3 linked regions of the Anolis sagrei genome follow. The protein of the gene in region 1 interacts with the protein of each later gene in a pairwise test. Links are inferred from orthologs where the notes say so. Each region holds a gene or a part of one and is shown in the gene's direction. Other genes may lie near its edges.

Region 1 (7,489 bases):
AGAATCATTAAGCTTATTCTACCAACTTCATTACCTCAAACTTTAAGTTGTTACAAGATCATTTTGCATATGGCTATTCCAGACTGACATGGCTGTTTCTGAATTCCCTCATCACCATTTCCCCTCAGCCCCCTTTTGCCAAAAAGTTTTTTTCCTTGCTTCCCTTGCCCCCAAAAGCCCATTTCCCTTGTCTCCCTCCCTTTGTCTTGTTCTCTTCCAAGCACTATTTCCCTCCCACCGCTCAGGAGGTGCTTTGTTATGTTTTCCCTCCATGGCAGAAGGAAGTTGGACTGAATGGCCCCTGGGGTCTTCCATAGAAATGCTTTAGGGGGCATGCTTGTCAAGTTTCCAGATTACACCAAATTAGGAGGGATACCAAATATTGCAGAGGACAGGATCAGAATTCAAAATGACCTTAAGAGATTAGAGAGCTGGGACAAAACTAACAAAAATGAATTTTAGCAAGAATAAATGTAGAATTCTACACGTTGGCAGAAAACAATGAAATGCACTAATACAGGATGGGCTGATGCCTGGCTGAATAACAATACCAGTGAAAAAGATTTTGGAGTCTTTGGGGACAACAAGTTGAATATGTGGAAACAGTGTGATGCAGCAATTTAATAAGACAGTGGGATTTGGGGTTGCATGAAAATAAGTATCATGTCTAGATCAGGCATGAGCAAACTTGGGCCCTCTGGGTGTTTTGGACTCAACTCCAGCTGTTAGGAATTATGGGAGTTGAAATCCAAAACACCCAAAGGGGCCAAGTTTGCCTATGCCTGGTCTAGATCAAGGAAAGCAATTGTGCCCATCTATTCTGCTTTGGCCAGGCCTCACCTGACATAATGTGTCCAATTCTGGGCACCACAGCCATGTAACCTCTAGTGACGGAGCTCTCCCAAGCTATGTACTTGCTTCTTATAGATGTGCAAACCTACCCAGAGTAGGTACACATAGCTTGCACAATTAGCAGCTCTCAGCATCCTCATACACCCTGGCTTTTTGGGTGATTAGATGGTGGAAACTGTGATTAAACACATCAGGAAGACATCCGATTGGAAAGGATGGAAAAGCTGTGCTTCACAGGAAAATATGGTATTACTTAATCATGATGCTTCAGAATTGCAGTATATTTCAGATTTGCATGTGTATGGCCTTCTATCCTTTGTATAGCTGCATTAAGACATAATCAATTGGAAGGGAAGACAGGTAGCAGTTCATGACCTTTTAGAAAATCAGGTGCTAGTAGCTTGTACCGGCCTTCCAGGCCCCTTTAGCTCATAGCTGACATTTACTGTTTGCTCAAACAGCCTTCCAAAAACATCCTAGGCTGGAGTGATGTTTGCAAAACAAAAAAAATGTGTGAGAGCCAACAGGCTTACCTTCTCAGTGAGATCTCGCTGCACATTTGATATATTTGCACATTCATAACTGCTTTCTTTAAATAGGAATTTTCAGCAAAGAGGAGAAATGAAACAGTTAGGTAAACAGTTATTGTTTCTTATAACTGTTTACCAATTATAGCAGCTAGTGAGTTCATTTATATCAAGACTGGGCAACTGATGTATTTTTAACGTACACCTCACAAAACCCGAAAGTGAGGACTGTGGGCTTTTGAGGTTTGAATTTCCATAAACTTGCAATGTTTGTGGCACGTGGGCATTGTTACACCCCTCCAATTATTCCTATCATCCCCCCCCCCCCCCGCACAGATTTATAAAACACAGTATGTATATGCACCCATAACCATTGGCTCAGCCAGACTTCTAGGAATTAATAAAATCCTTTCCTGCTTTGAGTAAGTTTGATTGAAAATGTGAGATGCTTAATTTGGGCCTTAGACCACCATTGTTATAACATACATACATATATATATATATATTCTCTCTCTCTCAACACATATGAAGAGACAAACAATGATACATTCACTCTGGACAAGTCACCTCTTATGTATTCTTTGCCTATTAAACCCATGGAGTGGCTATACATTTGTGGTCATCACTTGTCATCTGCTTTCTTTGTTTCCCTCCTTAGTAGTGTGATGGTCAACATTTAATTCTCTACTTCTTTATTTTTAATGTTAACTAATTTTTAAAAAACCCAAATTCTTTCTATGTAAAGACTAACAATGCATTGCCCAATCACATAGCAATGAGCTCCCTTCTCCTCAAATAGGACACTTCTGACTAGACATGAATAAGTACACCTCTCTCACTTGAATGGGAAATCTGTGTCTGTAAAACCATTCTCCCCAAATATGGCTTTACAGTGTTTTGGACTTCAGCTCCCAGAATCCCTGATCATTGGCCAAAGCAGCCAAAATTGATGTCCAATACACTTGGGAATGCATTGTGATGGCTGTGACCTCCTGTTAACTGATCTCCTTTCAAACCTAAAAACCTGGCTGTTTAGTGTGCCTTAGAGGAATGAATACAACCTACACCATGACCAGCTCAGCACAATATTCCCTGTGATGCACTTTACCTCACCCTTCAATGATAATCACCCCATTGCTGCTCTCACCTGAACCCCCCCCCCCCCCGCCCCGCTAACTAGGCATACTACCCTACTCATCCATCTCACCCAGGGTTTTTTATATTTTAATTCTATCTTTTTAACTTGGCCCAGCCCTCTGTGCACATTATTATTTTATTTCATTTCCTGTATTTGGTTTTGTATTAATTTGCTTTGTTTATATTTCATTTGATGTTATTATTTGCTGTATGTATTTTATTTTGATTTGTTGTAATGGCTGGGCTTGGCTTCATGTTAGCCGCCCTGACTCCCCGTTGGGGAGATGGTGGCGGGGTAGAAATAAATTATTATTATTTTATAATCACACAAAATCAGTAATGCAGAAATTAGCACAGTGGCAGAGTTTTTATGCAGTAGCTCCAATTATGCACCAGTAGAAGTGTCAGTTTCTTTCTGGTGCTTACAGGTGCATCTACAGTGTAGAATGAATGCAGTTTGACACCACTGCAACTGCTATGGCTCAATGCTATGGTATCAAGAAAGTTGTAGTTTCGCAAGGTCTTTAGCGTTCTCTGCCAGAGTTGGTGTTTCACCCACTTGTAAATCCCAGAATTTCGAAACAGTTAAAGTGGTACACACTGCATGAATGAATTGATGTGTAGTGTAGGTGTACCCTAAGTTTGGCATGCCTTTTTACTAAACCCTGTTAACCTTTCCTTATGCTATCCAAAACTTACACACACACCCCACACGGGTGTTAACCCTTTCCTATGCTATCCAAAGCTTATACACACACACACACACACACACAAACATCTCAAGGATGTTAACCCTTCCTTATGCTATCCAAAGCTTATACACACACACCATAGGGGTGTTAACCCTTTCCTATGCTATCCAAAGCTACACACATACATATATATTCATACATACACGTATATAAATGCACACACAAACATCACAAGGGTGTTAACCTTTCCTTATGCTATCCAAAACTTACATACACCCACCCACAGGGGTGTTAATCCTTTCCTATGCAATCCAAAGCTTGCTTTTATACACACAGAGACATACATGCTTTTATACACACAGAGACATAAATACACACCCTCGGGGGGGGGGGAGGGGGGGAGGGGAAATCCATCCCTAGATAGATGGAAGAGTTAACACGCCTGTGGTGTTCATAGGGAAGTGTTAACACCCCTGTGGGGTTTTTTTTTTGTTGTGTGTGCGCCTGTTCAGAAGATTTCACCTCACTTTCTGTCCCTGTGATAATTGGATTTAGAAAAAAAAAGGCTTCTGAAACAAGGATCGGTGAGCAAGCTTCAGCCGAGGCCCCCTTTCCCCCCGATAACTCTTTGAGGAGTGAATTTCCCTCCCTGGGGGTAGATTTCTCTCCCTTCCTGTTGTCTCGCCCCTTATTAACGCTGAGCTGTTTGGATGTCGGATGTTTGTAACTCGGGGACTGCCTGTAGGTGTTTCAATAAACAAACACATGATTTCAAGCAGAAGCTGGTGCATAATTAGAGCTGCTGCTGTGCCAAAAATCGAACTCTGTCGCTGCACATCTTCTGCTTTACTTCCCTTTTCTGTGCGTCTTCCGTGGGAGGGGAGGAGATTGCGCACAGAGTCTGCACATGCCCAGATAGCAGGGAAATCCCGGTCGCTCCGAGGAGGAGGAGGAGGAGAGGCGCGGTCCTCTTTGCCTTGCCTTGCCTTGCTTTGCTTCCTCTGGGCGCGGCGAGGCCAGGGCTGCCAGGCGCGCGCTCTGAAGCCCCGGAGGCGTGCCGTCCTCGCGCCGCCTCCTCCTCCTCCTCGTCGTGCCTCTGGGCTCCTTTCCCTTCTGCAGCACGGAAGAGGCGAAGCAAAGCAGCAGCGGGAGCCATGTCGCTATTGTCCCTGGCCTTGCCTGCCTTCTGGCTCTACTGGACCGCGACGCGCCTCGTCCTGCACCAGATCTTGCGCCGCTTCCGCCTGGGCTGCCCTTCCAAAGCAGGTTAGGAGGCTCCCCCGGAGAGGCTGGGAGGGAGAGGCCTTGGCTTAGGAGAGGGAAGCCTCGCTGGCTTCGCTTTCTTCCCCTCCCCACGCGTCCTTCCACCGTTGGGAGCCAAAGTTGAGCATTTGCGCTCGGAGGGAGAGGACAGAGGACACTCCTCCTCGCAAATGGAGGGGATCCGCTTCCCTCTTCCTGCCTAGATCTTGTGGCAGGAGCCAGGCGAGGCCAAAGGGCTCCAAGCTCCTGCCCAAGGCTCTGGCTCCTGGTTACTGGGGGCCCTTCCACACAGCCCTATATCCCAGAATACCAAGGCAGTTCACCCTCAGATAATGTGGGATTTCCTGCCTTGATATTCTGGGATATAGGGCTGTGTGGAAGGGCCCTGGGACTCTTCAGTTGCAGTGCCTTCGCTGGCTGTTTGTAGCCACCGATTTTCAACCCTGGGATACAACCGCAACCTCTATCGGTCCCCTGAGGTTGTTGCATTTGCCAGTCTGCTGCCCCTAGCTTACACTTCAGTTGTAGCTTGGTGGACATACAGTGAATGTAGCAAAACAAAAAGTTTTCAAGCTACATCCAAGTTTCTTGTAACTGCCATGGTTATTGCTGTTTGTGTGCCTCCAAGTCATTTTTGACCAATGGAAAAACTAAGCAGATGGGAGCTTGTATTGTCGAAGGCTTTCATGGCCGGAATCACTCAGTTCTTGTGGGTTTTTTCGGGCTATATGGCCATGTTCTAGAGGCATTTCTCCTGACGTTTCGCCTGCATCTATGGCAAGCTTCCTCAGAGGTCATAGATGGGAGCTTGTTCTTGGGGATTTGCCCATGTTTTCCTCTGAGGTTAAGAGCATGTGACTTGCCTAAGGGCACCTAGTGGGTTTCCATGACTGAGGAGGGAGTTACAACCTTAGTTCAATATTCAAACAACTGCACCAGAGCTTTCCGATATTATGTTGGTGACGCACTACATGCATCGCTTTGCGACACAGTGCTTCAGTTTTACTAGCAAACCAGAGGTTAACCCAAGCATGGGCAAACTTCAGCACCAGCTGTTCTGAATTGTGGGTGTTGAAGTCCAAAACACCTGGAAGGCCGAAGTGTGCCCATGCCTGGGTTAAACCAAGAGATCGGAACACGTACATAAATTATAATAATGAAATGTATGGGGACATGACTTATCATGAAAATCTTGCTCATATATATATATGATTTATTGATTATTTCACATGGACTCACCTTTCTTGTTTCATTCACTTTACACACCTACACGCTACAGCCAACATTCCAATGTGTCACGACACACCATTTGGAAGGCTCAGCACTATACCATGCTGGGTTATCACATGCCTTCAAGCAGACTGGCTTATGGTGACCCTATTATAGGTTTTTCTTTTGCTTTGCAGGGCATTGCTTTCCTTTGAGGTTGAAAGAGTATGACTTACCTAAGGTCACCCTATAGGTTTCCATGGTTGAGCTTTGGTCTCCTGGTGTCCTGCTCTAGCATTCAAATCCTGATACTACTTTGGTTCCCTTGGGTACCTGTCTATTGAAGAGTGATCCAGTAATCTCACTAGGCCTTATTACTCTAAAGAAAATGCTATCTATGTTTGTCACTTTTTTCATGTCAGGAGCAACTTGAGAAACTCCAAGTCACTTCTGGTGTGAAAGAATTGGCTGCCTGCAAGGACGTTGCCCAGGAGACACCTGGATGTTTTGATGTTTTACCATCCTTGTGGGAGGCTTTTCTCATGTCCCCACATAGGGAGCTGGAGCTAACAGAGAGAGTTCTCCCCAGATTTGAACCTCTAACCTGTTGGTCTTCTGTCCTGCTGACACAAGGGTTTAACCCATTGTGCCACCAGGGGCTCCATGTTTGTCGCTAACCATACCTATATATAGTTGGCCCTCTATATCCATAGATTCTGCATCCGCAATTGAACCATCCACAGATTTTTTTTTAAAAAAAAAAATCCAAAAATCAAATTGTGATTTTGCTGTTGCATATAAGGGACAATATTTTAATACACGATTATATATAATGAGCTTCTATGGATTTTTGTATCCACAAGGGTTCTTGGAACGCCAGCAGATACCAAGGACCCACTGTATGCACTTTCACCTTTGACATCATTGAAAAGTCTGTCAATTGCATTCGTGGACATTGATTGTTTGATTGTGTGTGTGTGTAATAAGTTTTTAAATAGCAGGTATTAGTGACAGATTGTGGTTTCCATGCTATTAGCTTCCAAGACATTTGCCAGAAGTAAAATAGGCAAGAGTTGTAACCTGGTGAAAGATTGCTTTTTGCAAAAGCAAGGATATCACTGTACTCCTCCGCTTAATATGGAAAGCTGAAATTGAAGCTTTCCACTCCAGTGCTTTAATATTAGGTTGGGTGGAGATGGGGTGTGTGAAGAAAGAATATATGCTGTTTTCAGTCCCTTGGAGGGAATTGGAAAATAAATGTAAGACATAATCTTTTGGAGTTGGTGAGAAGTTCAAGGTAAACATCTACACTCAGTTACTAAGGAATTGGAATAGAATCAGACACTTGGTTGGAAGAAATTGTATTAATCTCATAGGAATAATAAAGAGCCAGTGTAGTAATTTGAATGCTAGAATTATGGCACTGAAGACCTGAGTTTACTCATAGAAATCTGTGGGTTGATTTTTGGTAACTCTAAAACTCAGAGATAGGCAAAAGCAGAGTCACCATAAGTTGGAAATGACTTGAAGTTACATAGGAACAACAAGGCAGTGGTTGCATTGTCTGTGTAACTGTGGTTCTGGTCAAAGTTGCACAACAAGAACAAGATAGGAAAAGCTTAACAAATAATCTAGCCTGGTCCCAATATATCAAATCCTACAGGAAACTGAATGGCTACTTAGGGACTACATGGCTACTTAGGGACCTTCTAGACAGGCTCTATATTCCAGGATCTGATCCCAGGTATTCTGTTTATCCTAGATTATATGGCAGTGGGGACTCATATAAAGTAGAAAACCTGGGATATA
Region 2 (6,936 bases), on another chromosome or scaffold:
TATTTATACCCCGCTCCATCTCCCCCAGGGGGACTCGGTGAGGCTTACCTGTCCGAACGTATTCTCCCCTATGAACCATCTAGGTTGTTAAGATCGTCTGGAGGGGCCCTGCTCTCGGTCCCACTGGCCGCACAAGCGCGTCTGGTGGGGACGAGGGACAGGGCCTTCTCGGTGGTGGCCCCTCAACTCTGGAACTCTCTCCCACTGGAGATTAGGACTGCTCCCTCCATTCTGACGTTCAGAAAACGGGTGAAAACCTGGCTATGGAATTTGGCTTTTGACTAGTCAATCAATATTTCTGCGTTTGGTTGGATGACGACGAATGACGAACAACAAATTTATTATGACGACTGACCATTGTTATTATGTGATTGCATTTTGCTGTTTTAACGTTTTAATGTGAATATGTTATATGATGTTTTTAACTTTTGTTTTGTGATATTACTGTTGGAAACCGGCCCGAGTCCCCCGATGGAGGGGAGAAGACCGGTATACAAAATTGTTGCTAAATAATAAATAAATAAATTACATGAGGCCACGCCCATCAGTATAGGTAAAGGTAAAGATAGTCCCCTGACATTAAGTCCAGTCATGTCTGACTCTGGGGTGTGGTGCTCATCTCCATTTCTAAGCCGAAGAGCCAGCGTTGTCCGTAGACACCTCCAAGGTCATGTGGCCGGCATGACTGCATGGAGCGCCGTTACCTTCCCACCGGAGCGGTACCTATTGATCTACTCACATTTGCATGTTTTCGAACTGCTAGGTTGGCAGAAGCTAGGGCTGACAGCGGAAGCTCACGCCGCTCCCTGGAATCGAACCTGCGACCTTTTGGTCAACAAGCTCAGCAGCTCAGTGCTTTAACCCACTGCGCCATCAGTATAGTAAACACAATATAACACAAAAGCATAACAAAACCAAAACATAAAATGCAAAACCAATATAATAAGTAACACAGCAAAATCCAATCAAATTCTCAAAACATTAGAAACCACCCTCCATCGAGTGCATTTCAGGCCCCTTCGACATTGCCTTATAACCCAGATTATCAAAATACATAATCCACATTACGTGCTTTGAATTGGAATCAAGACTCTACACTGCCAGTTCAAAGTAAATAATCTGAATTTTATATGGCCCCTTCCACACAGCTGAATAAAATCCCACATTATCTGCTTTGAACTGGAATAGATGGCAGCGTGGACTCAAATAACCCAGTTCAAAGCAGATATTGTGGGATTTTCTGCCTTGAAATTCTGGGTTATAGGGCTGTGTAGAAGGGCCCCCAGTCTCCCTATGGGTGGCTCGACTACAAAGTAATGACGATGAAGCTTGCAGTATTAGAAATGGGTAAAGGAAGCCTGAGGAAGGCTGCATCAATGCCTCGGTCGCGCCAAACGCCCTCCTCCTTTGCCGGAAAGGACTGCTCTCTACATGGCGCTGGGAGGCTTCCTTTCCCGCCTTTTTCTCTGCGCTCACCTCGTCGTCCAAGAAATCCAGGTAGTCTCGTTGAGCCTCTCGCAGCTCCGCGTCATCCAGCGTGGCTGCCGTGGGGAGAGCCATGGCGACAGGAAACGATTATTCTTTCCTTGGGCGAGAAGTCACTTGTGCTCAGCTCCTCCAAGGCCCTTGGCGCGAAAACCCGAGACTTTTTCCCGCCAAGGGAGGAGCCCAGGCGCCGCCTCGAACGTCGCCGCCCCCCCATTGGTCTAGGCAACGGGACTGCCGGCCAATGGCGTGCCACAAATCGGAAACGCTCCCGCCTTTCGAAAGAGTAGCCAATTGGTGAATCTGTATCTTTAAGGTTAGCTGCTCTTTTAACTGTAGCTATGCCAAACTGGAGGTCCTCCCACACAGCTGTATAACATCCACATTGAACTGGGTTATATAGCAGACAACCCAGGGCCCTTCCACACAGCCCTATATCCCAGGATATCAAGACAGAAAATCCCACAATATCTGCTTTGAACTGGGTTTTCTGAGTCCACACTCAGATAATGTGGGTTTTTCTGCCTTGATATTCTGAGATATAGGGCTGTGTGGAAGGGCCCCCAGTTCAAAGCAGATATTGTGGGATTTTCTGCCTTGACATTCTGTGTTATAGGACTGTGTGGAAAGGCCCTGGGTTATCCACATAGCCCTATATCCCAGAATGTCAAGGCAGAGTAACCTACAATATCTACTTTGAATTGGATTATCTGAGTCCACACTGCCATATTGTTGTTGTTCATTCGTTCAGTCATTTCAGACTCTTCATGACCTCCTGGACCAGCTCACGCCAGAGCTCCCTGTGGGCCGTCACCACTCCAGCTCCTTCAAGGTCAATCTAGTTACTTCAAGGATGCCATCCATCCATCTTGCCCTTGGTCGGCCCCTCTTCCTTTTTCCTTCCATTTCCCCCAGCATCATTGTCTTCTCTAAGCTTTCCTGTCTCCTCATGATGTGGCCAAAGTACTTCATCTTTGCCTCTACTAGTATTTATTTATTATTTATTAACTTTATTTGTACCCTGCTAGCATCTCCCCAAGGGACTCGGTGCGGCTTACATGAGGCCAAGCCCAAACACAATAATACAAGCAATAAAACATCAATACAAGCAATTAAAAACATAGACAATAAAATACACAACATTATCAAAAAAGCAGCACATAATTAAAACAGTGGGAAGGCCAAATGTAGAGTTAAAATTGGAAATAATGCTGGGCAATGAACGAAAGGTGAGACTGGTGTTTGTGGGGGCATACAAGCAGACTCGGGGAAATGTAAAGTGCTTTGGAGGACAAAGTGCTATGGGATCATTATCCTTCCCTCCAATGAGCAGTCGGGCTCTATTTCCTGGAGTATGGACTGGTTGGATCTTCTCGTGGTCCAAGGCACTCTCAGCACTTTCCTCCAACACCACAGTTCAAAAGCATCTATCTTCCTTCGCTCAGCCTTCCCTAAGGTCCAGCTCTCACATCCGTAGGTTACTACAGGGAATACCATGGCTTTGACTAGGCGGATCTTTGTTGCCAGTCTGATGTCTCTACTCTTCACTATTTTATCGAGATTGGACATTGCTCTCCTCCCAAGAAGTGTCTCCTGATTTCCTGGCTGCAGTCTGCATTTGCAGTAATCTTTGCATCTAGAAATATAAACTCTGTCACTGACTCTATGTTTCCCCCCTCTATTTCCCAGTTGTCAATCATTCTTGTTGCCATAATCTTGTTTTTTTTTTTTAATGTTTAACTGCAACCCAGCTTTTGCACTTTCTTCTTTCACCTTGGTTAGAAGGCTCCCCAGCTCCTCCTCACTTTCGGCCATCAAAGTGGTGTCATCTGCATATCTAAGGTTGTTAATGTCTCTTCCAGCAATTTGACCCCAGCCTTGCATTTGTCAAGCCCTACATTGCCATATATCCCAGTTCTACACAGATAATGTGGGATTTGTGTGTTGTCTTATTGATAATGTTGTATATTTTATTGTCTATGTTTTGTTTTAATTGCTTGTATTGTTGTTTTGCTTGTACTGTTGTATTCGGGCTTGGCCTCATGTAAGCCGCACCGAGTCCCTTGGGGAGATGGTAGCGGGGTACAAATAAATATTATTATTATTATTATTATTATTATTATTATTATTTTATTCAGCTGTGTGGAAAGGGCCCCAGAATATCAAGGCAGAAAATCCCTCAATATCTGCCTTGAAGTGGATTGAGTCCACACTGCCATATGTCCCAGTTCAAAGCAGATAATGTGGGATTTTATTCACCTAGAAGGGACCTTTGAATATAGCAGAAATTGCTTAAGCAAATGGAGCTTCCGGGTGGTTGCAGGAAGTGTTGGCGGCGAGACAGGAAAACTGGCGAGGCGCGCGCTGTCTAGTCTAAGGGAGGGCGCATGCGCACTCAGGATGTGTATCGTTACCAAGGAAACGGGGGGAGCGCGTGGACATGGCAACCCGCAGCCGCCGCGCGACAGTCCCTCCGCTGCCGGCTGCCCGCCGCCATGAGTTCCCAGCCGGTGCAAGGGCTTCCCATCCTGCCAGGCTCGACGTTTCGAGACCCCACGGTGAGGATACCTAAAAGCCTAGCTCTCTGCCTCGCCGCCCCGTTTCCCGCGGCGGGGCGGCGTTTCTCCCTTCAGGAGCCGCCAGAAGGCCCAAAGGGAGGCGCGGCGAGAGAAGCCCCTCAGCTCTGTCTGAGCATGCGCAGTTTGAACATCCCTGGGACAGAAGGGGAAACCACTGAGGAAATACGGACAAGCTCGTTTGCGCGAGCTTGAAGGCACAGAACACACAGCTTTATGGCCGGGGACATGGTTTGTTCTTGTGTGCCTTGAGAGAGTCCTCCACTAGTGTCACTCCCCACTACTGCTGCATTCTAATAGCTCATTGGCATATGTAGTCTGACCTCTCAGCTGTGTAACATGAGGTACACTTACTTACCATGTATAAATATGTGAGAGGAAGTCACAGGGAGGAGGGAGCAAGCTTGTTTTCTGCTTCCTTGGAGACTAGGACGGGGAACAATGGCTTCAAACTACAAGAGAGGAGATTCCATCTGAACATTAGGAAGAACTTGTGAGACTGACTGTGAGAGCCGTTCAGCGGTGGAACTCTCTGCCCCGGAGTGTGGTGGAGGCTCCTTCTTTGGAAGCTTTTAAACAGAGGCTGGATGGCCATCTGTCAGAGGTGCTTTGAATGCAATATTCCTGCTTCTTTGCAGGGGGTTGGACTGGATGGCCCGTAAGGTCTCTTCCAACTCTAGGATTCTATGATTCTACTTAGGCAATCCCTCATAGTCTGTGGATGATGGTCCTCCAAGATTGGTGTGCTGGCGGTGGGTCCGTAGGTGGCTGTGGAGCCCTATTCTTGACCTGCATCGTCTCCCGCAGTGAGGGCATCGGTTTCCAGGTGGAAGGCGGTCCGAGTCAAAGTTGGCTTGATACCCTTTCTTCTTCGCACGTTTCTCCCTTTCGCCCTCCATCTGTGCCTCTTCAAATTCTGCAGCACAGCTGGTCACAGCTGACCTCCAGCAGGGGCACTCAAGGGCCAGGGCTTCCCAGTTCTTAGTGTCTATGCCAGAGTTTTAAAGGTTGGCTTTCAGCCCATCCTTAAATCTCTTTTCCTGCCCACCAACATTCCTTTATCCGTTCTTGAGTTCGGAGTAGAGCAACTGCTTTGGGAGACGGTGGTCGGGCATCTGGACAACGGATGTTGATGGCGGAGGACCATCACTTCAATGCTGGTGGTCTTTGCTTCTTTCAGCACGCTGACATTTGTCCACTTGTCTTCCCAAGAGATTTGCAGGATTTTCCGGAGGCAGCGCTGATGGAATCGTTCCAGGAGTTGCATGTGACGTCTGTAGACAGTCCATGTTTCACTAGCATATAGCAGGGTTGGGAGGACAATAGCTTTATAAACAAGCACCTTGGTATCCCTACAGATGTCCCAGTCCTCAAACACTCTCTGTTTCATTCGGGAAAATGCTGCACTCGCAGAGCTCAGGAAATGTTGAATTTCAGTGTCAGTGTTGACTTTGGTGGAGAGGTGCCTGTCAAGGTAGTGGAAATGGTCAACATTTTCTAATGTTACACCATTAAGTTGTATTTCTGGCATTGGAGAGGGATTAAGTTGTATTTATGGCATTAGAGAGGCATTTGGTGACTGCTGGAAAAGCACCTTGGTTTTCTCAATGTTTAATGACAAGCTGAGCTGCTCGTATGCTTCTGCAAAGGTGTTTAGAGTGGCTTGTAGGTCTTCTTCTGAATGCGCACATGAGGTACTCTACTAGCAACCTCAAAAAAGCACACAATCTCACCACCACAGATAGTTTCATGGTGGGGAAATTGTTATATCATAAGCCTATCTTCAAAAGTTATGACTCATTAGGACAGGCAATAATGTTTCGTAAAGTGTAAGCTAACAGGAAAAGAGACAGACTGCATTATAAATAGATTGACTCTATTAAAGAGACCATAGCGCTGAGTTTGGAAGACCTGAGCAGGACAGTCATGGATCTTGGGGCCTGTCATTCATAGGGTCACCATAAGTCAAAGTGAGCTTGATGGCTCACTATTTAACATACTTAGAGGTTCCTATTCATCGGAGGGCTTTCACCCTGGCCCGATGCCACGCTCTCCCATCAGCTGTACTCGAAGGCCGCTACCGGAAGATCCCTTTCCCAGAGAGACTCTGCCCCTGTGACTCGGGTCATGTAGAAACAATAGAACATGTGCTCCTTCAGTGCCCGTTCTACAGGGATACCCATGCCAGGCTTATCTTACCCCTGATAGACAAGCACCCAGGCCATTCAGGACAATTTTATACCTCCCTGCTACTTGCGGATACTAATTCAGCTACAACCTACAATGTCGCAAAGTTTTGTGCAGCAGCATACAAAATCCGCCAGGGAATGACTAGTTCCAAAAGTCAACTGTGTGTCCAGTAATCGTCTTCCCTGAATCTACAATTTGGTGATGGATCTGGACATTGTATGATTTTACCCTGTTTCCCCTTCTGCTCCCTCACCCATATTGTGTTTTTAGTAGTTGTATTTATATTTTTAATGTACCAAACATGCCAGGTTTGTAAGGAAACGTGACACTATTTCCTGTGCTGGTCAATGACCGAAATAAATGTTTTGATTGATTTGGTTTTGAGCTTGATGGCAATTAATAACAAACTCTTATCAAAAGGCAAAATATAACAAAGCTTACAGCGTAGTGTCGAAAGCTTTCATGGCCAGAATCACTGGGTAGTTGTAGGTTTTTTCAGGCTATATGTTCATGTTCTAGAAGCATTCTCTCCTAATGTTTTTCCTGTATCTATGGCAGCATCCTCAGAAGTTGTGACCTCTCTACCTCTGAGGATGCAGGCAAAACATCAGAAGAGAATGCCTCTAGAACATGGCCATATAGCCCGAAAAAACCTACAACAACCCAAAGCTTACAGCTTTACAAT
Region 3 (7,356 bases), about 78 Mb from region 1:
AAGTGTTGACGAAACTGGACAGGGTCCGTATCGTAACTTTGATGAGTTAACTCCTTTTTCGTTAAGTAATTGTGCCAATGGGGAAATCCTGTATCCCTCATTGTTAGAGTTATTTGCACAAAACTTGCTATGATTAAAGGACACATTTACCACTGTTAGCCCATCAAGTTTCAGAATGTTTCACTCATCCATGGATTTTCAAGGAATTTCCAATGTTTTTACAAAGATTTTTTTAAAAAAACTACAAGAGCTATCTCCTTGAATTTTCTATACAATGACACAAGATAACAGATTATCCCCTCAAGTTTCAGAAATATTCACACATCTACTGATTTTGGGGATTTTAAAAAAAGTTTTGACATTTTGCTTGTGCTAAAAATGAGTCTGACTTCCATGCATTACAAAATTCAAATGAAATTGGGTGAGTTTTGATTCTGAAGTTTTTGCATGGGAGCCCTGTTTCTTAATATCTGTGTTGTTGTAGGTTTTTTCAGGCTATATGGCCATGGCCTAGAGGCATTCTCTCCTGACGTTTTGCCTGCATCTATGGCAAGCATCCTTAATATCTGTTCATATATACAAAATCTATTAATTACATATGACTTACAATTTAAAAACAAAGATTGCACACCCCTATTATTGAGCAAACTGTAACCAATCAACTCATGCCAAGGAAAGTGGCAAAGAACCCATCAGATAGTAATGTGTCCTTAGAAAGTTTTTAGAAGACTCCTAAATAGGTCGGTGGTGTGTTTGCTTTGCAAATGATTGTCAAGTGCAGCCTCTGAACAAAGGCATTTTAATCTTTCATGAATCAGATGAGATCTGGCATCTACAAAGTTGAGTTGCTCTGTAATAAAGAGATGGCTTCTGTCCCTCAAAGCAGTTGGATGAAAGAAGGGATGTTATGAGATAAAGCTGTTGAACTCTCTCTTATGCATATTCTGTCAAAGTTAGCTTAGCCCTTCATTAATAAAACAACTCCTAACTCTGGTTAATTGCATCTACCTCTGTTGCTTTGGCAGGATCTCAGTACCGTTCAAAAGCTTAACAGGGGAAAATCAGCAGGAAGGCTTCACACATGCAAAGCAATGTCTGCTTACAGCACAGGCAGACCATATGCTTCCCTCATATCCCCAATTTTAGAAATCTTAGCCCAAGCAGGACTATATGCCCTTGGTGCAACCTCTGAGAAGCTGGTTCTACCCCTTCGCAGGAATGAAGTTCAATCCTGAGCTGGTTGTGAGAGGTGGGTCTATAAGTAGTGCCATTTCTAAATGCTTTTACACTCAATTTTCCTCTCAGTAATATGCACCGTACCATCCTGCAAAATACAGGTTGAGTATCTGAAATGCTTGGAGACCAAAGCACTTTGGTTTTTTTCCCCACACTGATAAGTAAATATTTATTTATTTATGACATTTATATGCCGCCCTTCTCACCCTGAAGGGGACTCAAAGCAGTTTACAAGTAAAAAGTAAATACAATATATTATTATCATAGTACATAGGGACAAGAGACAGGGCCTTCTCGGCTGTGGCCCCCACCTGTGGTACTTGCTTCCCACTGAAGTAAGATTGGCTCCGTCCCTCCTGTCATTTAGGAAGAAATTGAAGTCGTGGTTCTGGGATCAGGCTTTTGGACAACAGACATAGATAGCACTTTGACATGGAATTGAATATGGAATTGACTGGAATGATGTTACGGCTATTAATACTGTTTTTTGTTTTTTTTACTGTTTAAAGCTCCATTGGCTGCCAGTCTGCTATTGAGTACTGGGTTGTTGTAGTTTTTTTCGGGATATATGGCCATGTTCTAGAGGCATTCTCTCCTGACGTTTCACCTGCATCTATGGCAAGCATCCTCAGAGGTAGTGAGATCTATGGGAACTAGGAAAGTGGTTTTATATATCTGTGGAATGACTAGGGTGGGGCAAAGAACTCTTGTCTGTTGGAGCTAGGTGTGAATGTTTCACCTCTGTTTTGCTGTTGTAATTTTAGAGGTTTTTTAATATGGGTAGCCAGATTTTGTTCATTTTTATGGTTTCCTCCTTTCTGTTGAAATTGTCCACATGCTTGTGGATTTTGATGGCTTCTCTGTGTAGTCTGGCATGATGGTTGTGAGAGTGGTCCAGCATTTCTGTGTTCTCAAATAACATGCTGTGTCCAGGTTGGTTCATCAGGTGCTCTGCTATGGCTGACTTCTCTGGTTGAAGTAGTCTGCAGTGCCTTTCATGTTCCTTGATTGGTGTTTGGGCAAAGCTGCGTTTGGTGGTCCTTATGTAGACTTGTCCACAGCTGCATGGTATACAGTAGACTACAAAATAATCATTTTTAACATAGTAATTTTCAAACTTTCATAGCCACATTTCGTTCCTTTTATGTAGATACTACTGAGCTAAAAAAATCTGTATCTCCTGAAGAGAACAAACTCTCAAGTATATAATTTTGTAAGTACTCAAATGTGTTGTAACTTATGGTATTTAATGGATATGTTCAACAAATATTGATGTAATAACAAGTGTGAAGACTTTACTAATTTCTTAATATGTAAAATACTTGAATATTAAGTATTTCTACAATATAATCATTTTAAACATAGTAATTTTCAAACTCTCATAGCCACATTTCGTTCCTTTGATGTAGATACCACTGACTCAAAAATATCTGTATCCCCTGAGGAGAATTTGTTCAAGTGTATAACTTTCTAAGTACTTAAGTGTGTTGTAACTCATGATATTTAATGATACAGATTTTCTATATGTATGCTACTGGAGTAAAATATTGATTTGTACATTAATTTCAGTCCACCAGAGGAAGGCCTGAGGTAGGCCGAAACCGGTCGTGGATGGCTGATCCACAAGCTACTTACAAGAAAATACGACTTTACTAAAAATTTGCACTATATTGTTTGTTGTCGCTGTGAGGTTAACAGTGCAGCATGTTTATATACTGTTGTTGAATTATATTATTGTTTATGTTATACAAGTGGTATTTTTGTTGTATGCATTTCATTCAGGAACACATTTTTATATTATAGTATAAGGTAGACTCCTGCAGAAGTGAGAGGATCCCTCTTGTCCTTTGCTGAACGTAGCATTTGTTGGATTTTCTTGGTGGGTCTGTACAATCAGGGACATCTAATCACCTCTCAGCAAAAGACTGCCCCAGGAACAGCCATCAAATGCTAATCAAGGTGGTCAGTTGAAACATTCACATCTAGCTCCAACAGACAAGATTTCTTTGTCCCACTCAGGTCATTCCACAGATATATAAACCCTTTTCCTAGTTCCAACAGACCTCACTACCTCTGAGGATGCTTGCCATAGATGCAGGCAAAACGTCAGGAGAGAATGCCTCTAGAACAGTAGTTCTCAACCTTCCTAATGCCGCGACCCCTTAGTACAGGTCCTCATGTTGTGGTGACCCCCAAACATAACATTCTTTTCATTGCTACTTCATTACTGTCATTTTGCTACTGTTATGAATGTATTTTCAGTAACTGGACTTAATTTGGCACAAATACCTGATACGCCCAAAATTGAATACTGGTGGGGTTAAGGGTGATTGATTTTGTCATTTGGTAGTGCTGGAGTTGCTGGGATTTATAGTTCACCTACAATCAAAGAGCTTTTTGAACTCCACCAATGATGGAATTGAATCAAACGTGGCACACAGAATTCCCATGACCAAGAGAAAATACTGGGAAGGTCTGGTGGACATTGACCTTGAGTTTTTGGAGTTGTTGTTCACCTATATCCAGACTGTAGACTCAAGCAATGATGGATCTGGATCAAACTTGGCAGAAATACTCAATATGCCCAAATGTGAACACTGGTAGAGTTTGGAGAAAATAGACCTTGCCATTTGGGAGTTGTAGTTGTTGGGATTTATAGTTCACCCACAATGAAATTGCATTCTGAACCTCTCAGATAGAATTGGACCAAACTTTCCACACAGAACCCCCATGACCAACAGATAATACTATGTTTTCTGATGGTCTTTGGTGACCCCTCTGGCACCCCCTTGCGACCCCCATAGGGGTCCCGACTCCCAGGTTGAGAAACACTGCTCTAGAACATGGCTATATAGCCCGAAAAAAACCTACAACATCCCAGCCTACTGGCTGCTAGGAATTGTGGGAGTTGAAGTCCAAAACACCAGGAGGGCTGAAGTTTGCCCAGACCTGCAAGAATCAAGGCAGTTTGCCCATGCGTGGTGTAGCAGATACATGTCAGATGGGGTTGTCTCCTAGGCAACACCAGAGGGCGCTTTTTCCCTCCACGGATTGGCTCTGGAGAAGCTGGTTCTCCTTCCCGGGGTTTCCTCCGTCTCAATTCACCGAAGGGAGAGCCAGCTGTTGCCGCTCTTCAGCCATGGCCAGGAGGGCAGGCCTCCGAGGCTCCGCCTGACTCGCCCCGAGGCTCAGAGGCTGACCAGCAAGGAAAGGCCGCCGTCGCGCTTGTGTTCCGGGTAAGAGCACGCCGCGCGCCACAAACCCGAAGCCTAAGGAGGCTCGCGCTCAGCTAGAGGCGCGTGCCCACCAGCCAGACTGACGCATGCGCAGTAAAGAGGAGGAAGAGGCCGGCGAGATGGCGCTGCCCTCGCGGGGACCGGAAGAACACCAGGCGACCGGAAGAACCCCACTTAAACTGGGTTGTTGTAGGTCTTTCGGGCTGATGTGGCCCAGTTCTAGAAGCATTCTCTCCTGACGTTTCGCCTGAGGGCCTCTGAGGATGTCTGCCATAGATATAGATATAATATTCATAATATTGGAATGCAATACAATATAATCCTACTACTACTAATAATATGATATTATAATTATATATTTTATATTACACTAGCTGTACCTGCCATGCGTTGCTGTGGCAAACCTTCCCTCCCTCTTTCTCTTTTTTCTTTCTCTCCTTCCTTCTCTTCCCTTCCCTGCCTCTTCTTTCCCTCCCTCTTTCTTTTCGTTCATTCTTTCTCTCCTTCCTTCCCTCTCTCCCCTTCCTTCCTCGCCTTTTCTTTCCCTCCCTCTTTCTCTTCTTTCTTTCTCTCCTCTTCCTTCCCAACCTTTTCTTTCCCTTCCTCTTTTTTCATTATTTCCTTCTCTTCCCTTCCTTCCCCACCCTCTTCTTTCTTTCTCCCCTCCCTCTTTCTTTCTTTCTCTCCTCTTCCTTCCCCACCCTTTCTTTCCCTTCCTCTTCTTTCATTATCTCCTTCCTTTCTTCCCTTCCTTCCCTCCCTCTTCTTTCCGTCCGTCCTTCCCTCTTTCTTTTCTTTCTTTCTTTTTCTTTCTCTCCTTCCTCCCTTCCCTTCCTTTCCCACCTTTTCTTTCCCTCCCTCCTCTTTCTCTTCTTTCTTTCTCTCCTTCTCTTCCTTCCCCACATTTTCTTTCCCTTCCTCTTGTTTCATTCTCCTTCCTTTTCTTCCTTTCCTTCCCTACCTCTTCTTTCCCTCCGTCTTTCTTTTCGTTCTTTCTTTCTTTCTCTCCTTCCTTCCCTCTCTCCCCTTCCTTCCCCACCTTTTCTTTCCCATGCTCTTTCTCTTCTTTCTTTCTCTCCTCTTCCTTCCCCACCTTTTCTTCCCCTTCCTCTTTTTTCATTATCTCCTTCCTTCCTTCTCTTCCCTTCCTTCCCCACCTTTTCTTTCCCTTCGTCTTCCTCTTCTTTCATTATCTCCTTCCTTCTCTTCCCTTCCTTCCTCATCTTTTCTTTCCCTTCCTCCCTCTTTCTCTTCTTTCTCTCCTTCTCTTCCTTCCCCACCTTTTCTTTCCCTTCCTCTTCTTTCATTCTCTCCTCCCTTCCTTCTCTTCCCTTCCTTCCCCACATTTTCTTTCCCCCCTCTTTCTCTTCTTTCTTTCTCTCCTCTTCCTTCCCCACCCTTTCTTTCTCTTCCTCTTCTTTCATTATCTCCTTCCTTCCCTTCCTTCCCTCCCTCCCTCTTTCTTTTCTTTCTTTCTTTTTCTTTCTCTCCTTCCTCCCTTCCCTTCCTTTCCCACCTTTTCTTTCCCTCCCTCCTCTTTCTCTTCTTTCTTTCTCTCCTTCTCTTCCTTCCCCACCTTTTCTTTCCCTTCCTCTTGTTTCATTATCTCCTTCCTTCTCTTCCCTTCCCTACCTCTTCTTTCCCTCCCTCTTTCTTTTCTTTTTCTCCTTCCTTCCTTCTCTTCCCTTCCTTTCCCACCTTTTCTTTCCCACCCTCTTTCTCTTCTTTCTTTCCTCTTCCTTCCCCACTTTTTTCTTTCCCTTCCTCTCCTTTCATTATCTCCTTCCTTCTTTTCCCTTCCTTCCCCACCTTTTCTTCCCCTCCCTCTTTTTCTTTTCTTCTTTCTTTCTCTCTCTCCTTCCTTCTCTTCCCTTCCTTTCCTACCTTTTCTTTCCCTCCCTCTTTTCTTCTTTCTTTCTCTCCTTCATTCCTTCTCTTGTTTTATATGTTTTTACAAGTGTTTTAATGTATTTTATAACTTAATTTAAAAGTCTATAATTGTACATATCCTATGGCTTCGTATGGTTGCCTATATGTCAGCTGCCTTGAGTCCCCGCCAGGGTAGAGAAAGGCAGGGTAGAAATGCCGTAAATAAATAAAATAAATATTACAGGGTGAAACTTTTTTTCAGGTAGCACCTGGAGCCCAGTTTTGAGAGCTTTTCAAGTTTGTATTTACACATTGACTAAAATATATATAGTCTGAGTGAATGTTATCTTCAAGGTCTAATACATTACATGCATACAGGTTTACATATTTGGGTGTGTATATTGTACTTTCTAAACAAAGTTTGCATTTTATGTATACAATCCTCACTGTTGCACTCTAGCCTTAAGACACCTTTTCACCCAGCACCACACCAGAGTCCAGTAGTACTAACTACAAAACTTTATTAAGAAAAACATGTACAAAACAAAAAAAAAGGCTTCCCCCCCAAAGTGCAGTAGAATAGGAAATACAATATAGCTTTTATTATATATATTATATAGTTTTTGTATAAAATAGGTACAAAAACTAGACATATACTGATAATCGGTATTTGCAAGGCTTGCTAAATGGGCTGCTTTTTCGTCTTATGATGTTCATCTGAAGCAATTTCTGCAGAGTGTACCGTAAACACCGCAGGATTTGTCAGCAGATTTGTGTAGGGGCCCTTCCAGACAGCCCGTATATCTCAGTATCTGATCCCAGGTTTTCTGTTTATCCCAGATTATCTGGCAGCGGAGACTGATATCCAGTTTAAAGCAGAAAACCTGGGATCAGATCCTGGGATATAGCAAAGATCCGCCTAGTCAAAGCCATGGTATTCCCTGTAGTAACCTATGGATGTGAGAGCTGGACCTTAGGGAAGGCTGAGCGAAGGAAGATAGATGCTTTTGAGCTG

What was found.
Region 2: the proteins of ZBED1 (region 1) and EFHC1 interact in binary tests that used the Homo sapiens proteins (3 or more experiments, as listed by UniProt). The two-hybrid records come from large-scale screens. The link is inferred for Anolis sagrei from reciprocal best matches to the Homo sapiens genes ZBED1 and EFHC1.
Region 3: the proteins of ZBED1 (region 1) and LRRC20 interact in binary tests that used the Homo sapiens proteins (3 or more experiments, as listed by UniProt). The two-hybrid records come from large-scale screens. The link is inferred for Anolis sagrei from reciprocal best matches to the Homo sapiens genes ZBED1 and LRRC20.

What each region holds. Positions count from the first base shown.
Region 1 is NC_090023.1:98,069,472-98,076,960, forward strand, and holds the start of ZBED1 (E3 SUMO-protein ligase ZBED1), read left to right. Parts: upstream 1-4,393; 5' UTR 4,394-4,474; intron 4,475-7,489.
Region 2 is NC_090021.1:150,390,651-150,397,586, reverse strand, and holds the start of EFHC1 (EF-hand domain-containing protein 1), read left to right. Parts: upstream 1-3,899; 5' UTR 3,900-3,980; coding exon 3,981-4,043; intron 4,044-6,936. UniProt on the Homo sapiens protein: Microtubule inner protein (MIP) part of the dynein-decorated doublet microtubules (DMTs) in cilia axoneme, which is required for motile cilia beating.
Region 3 is NC_090023.1:175,650,787-175,658,142, forward strand, and holds the start of LRRC20 (leucine-rich repeat-containing protein 20), read left to right. Parts: upstream 1-4,276; 5' UTR 4,277-4,472; intron 4,473-4,565; exon of another isoform or gene 4,566-4,661; intron 4,662-7,356.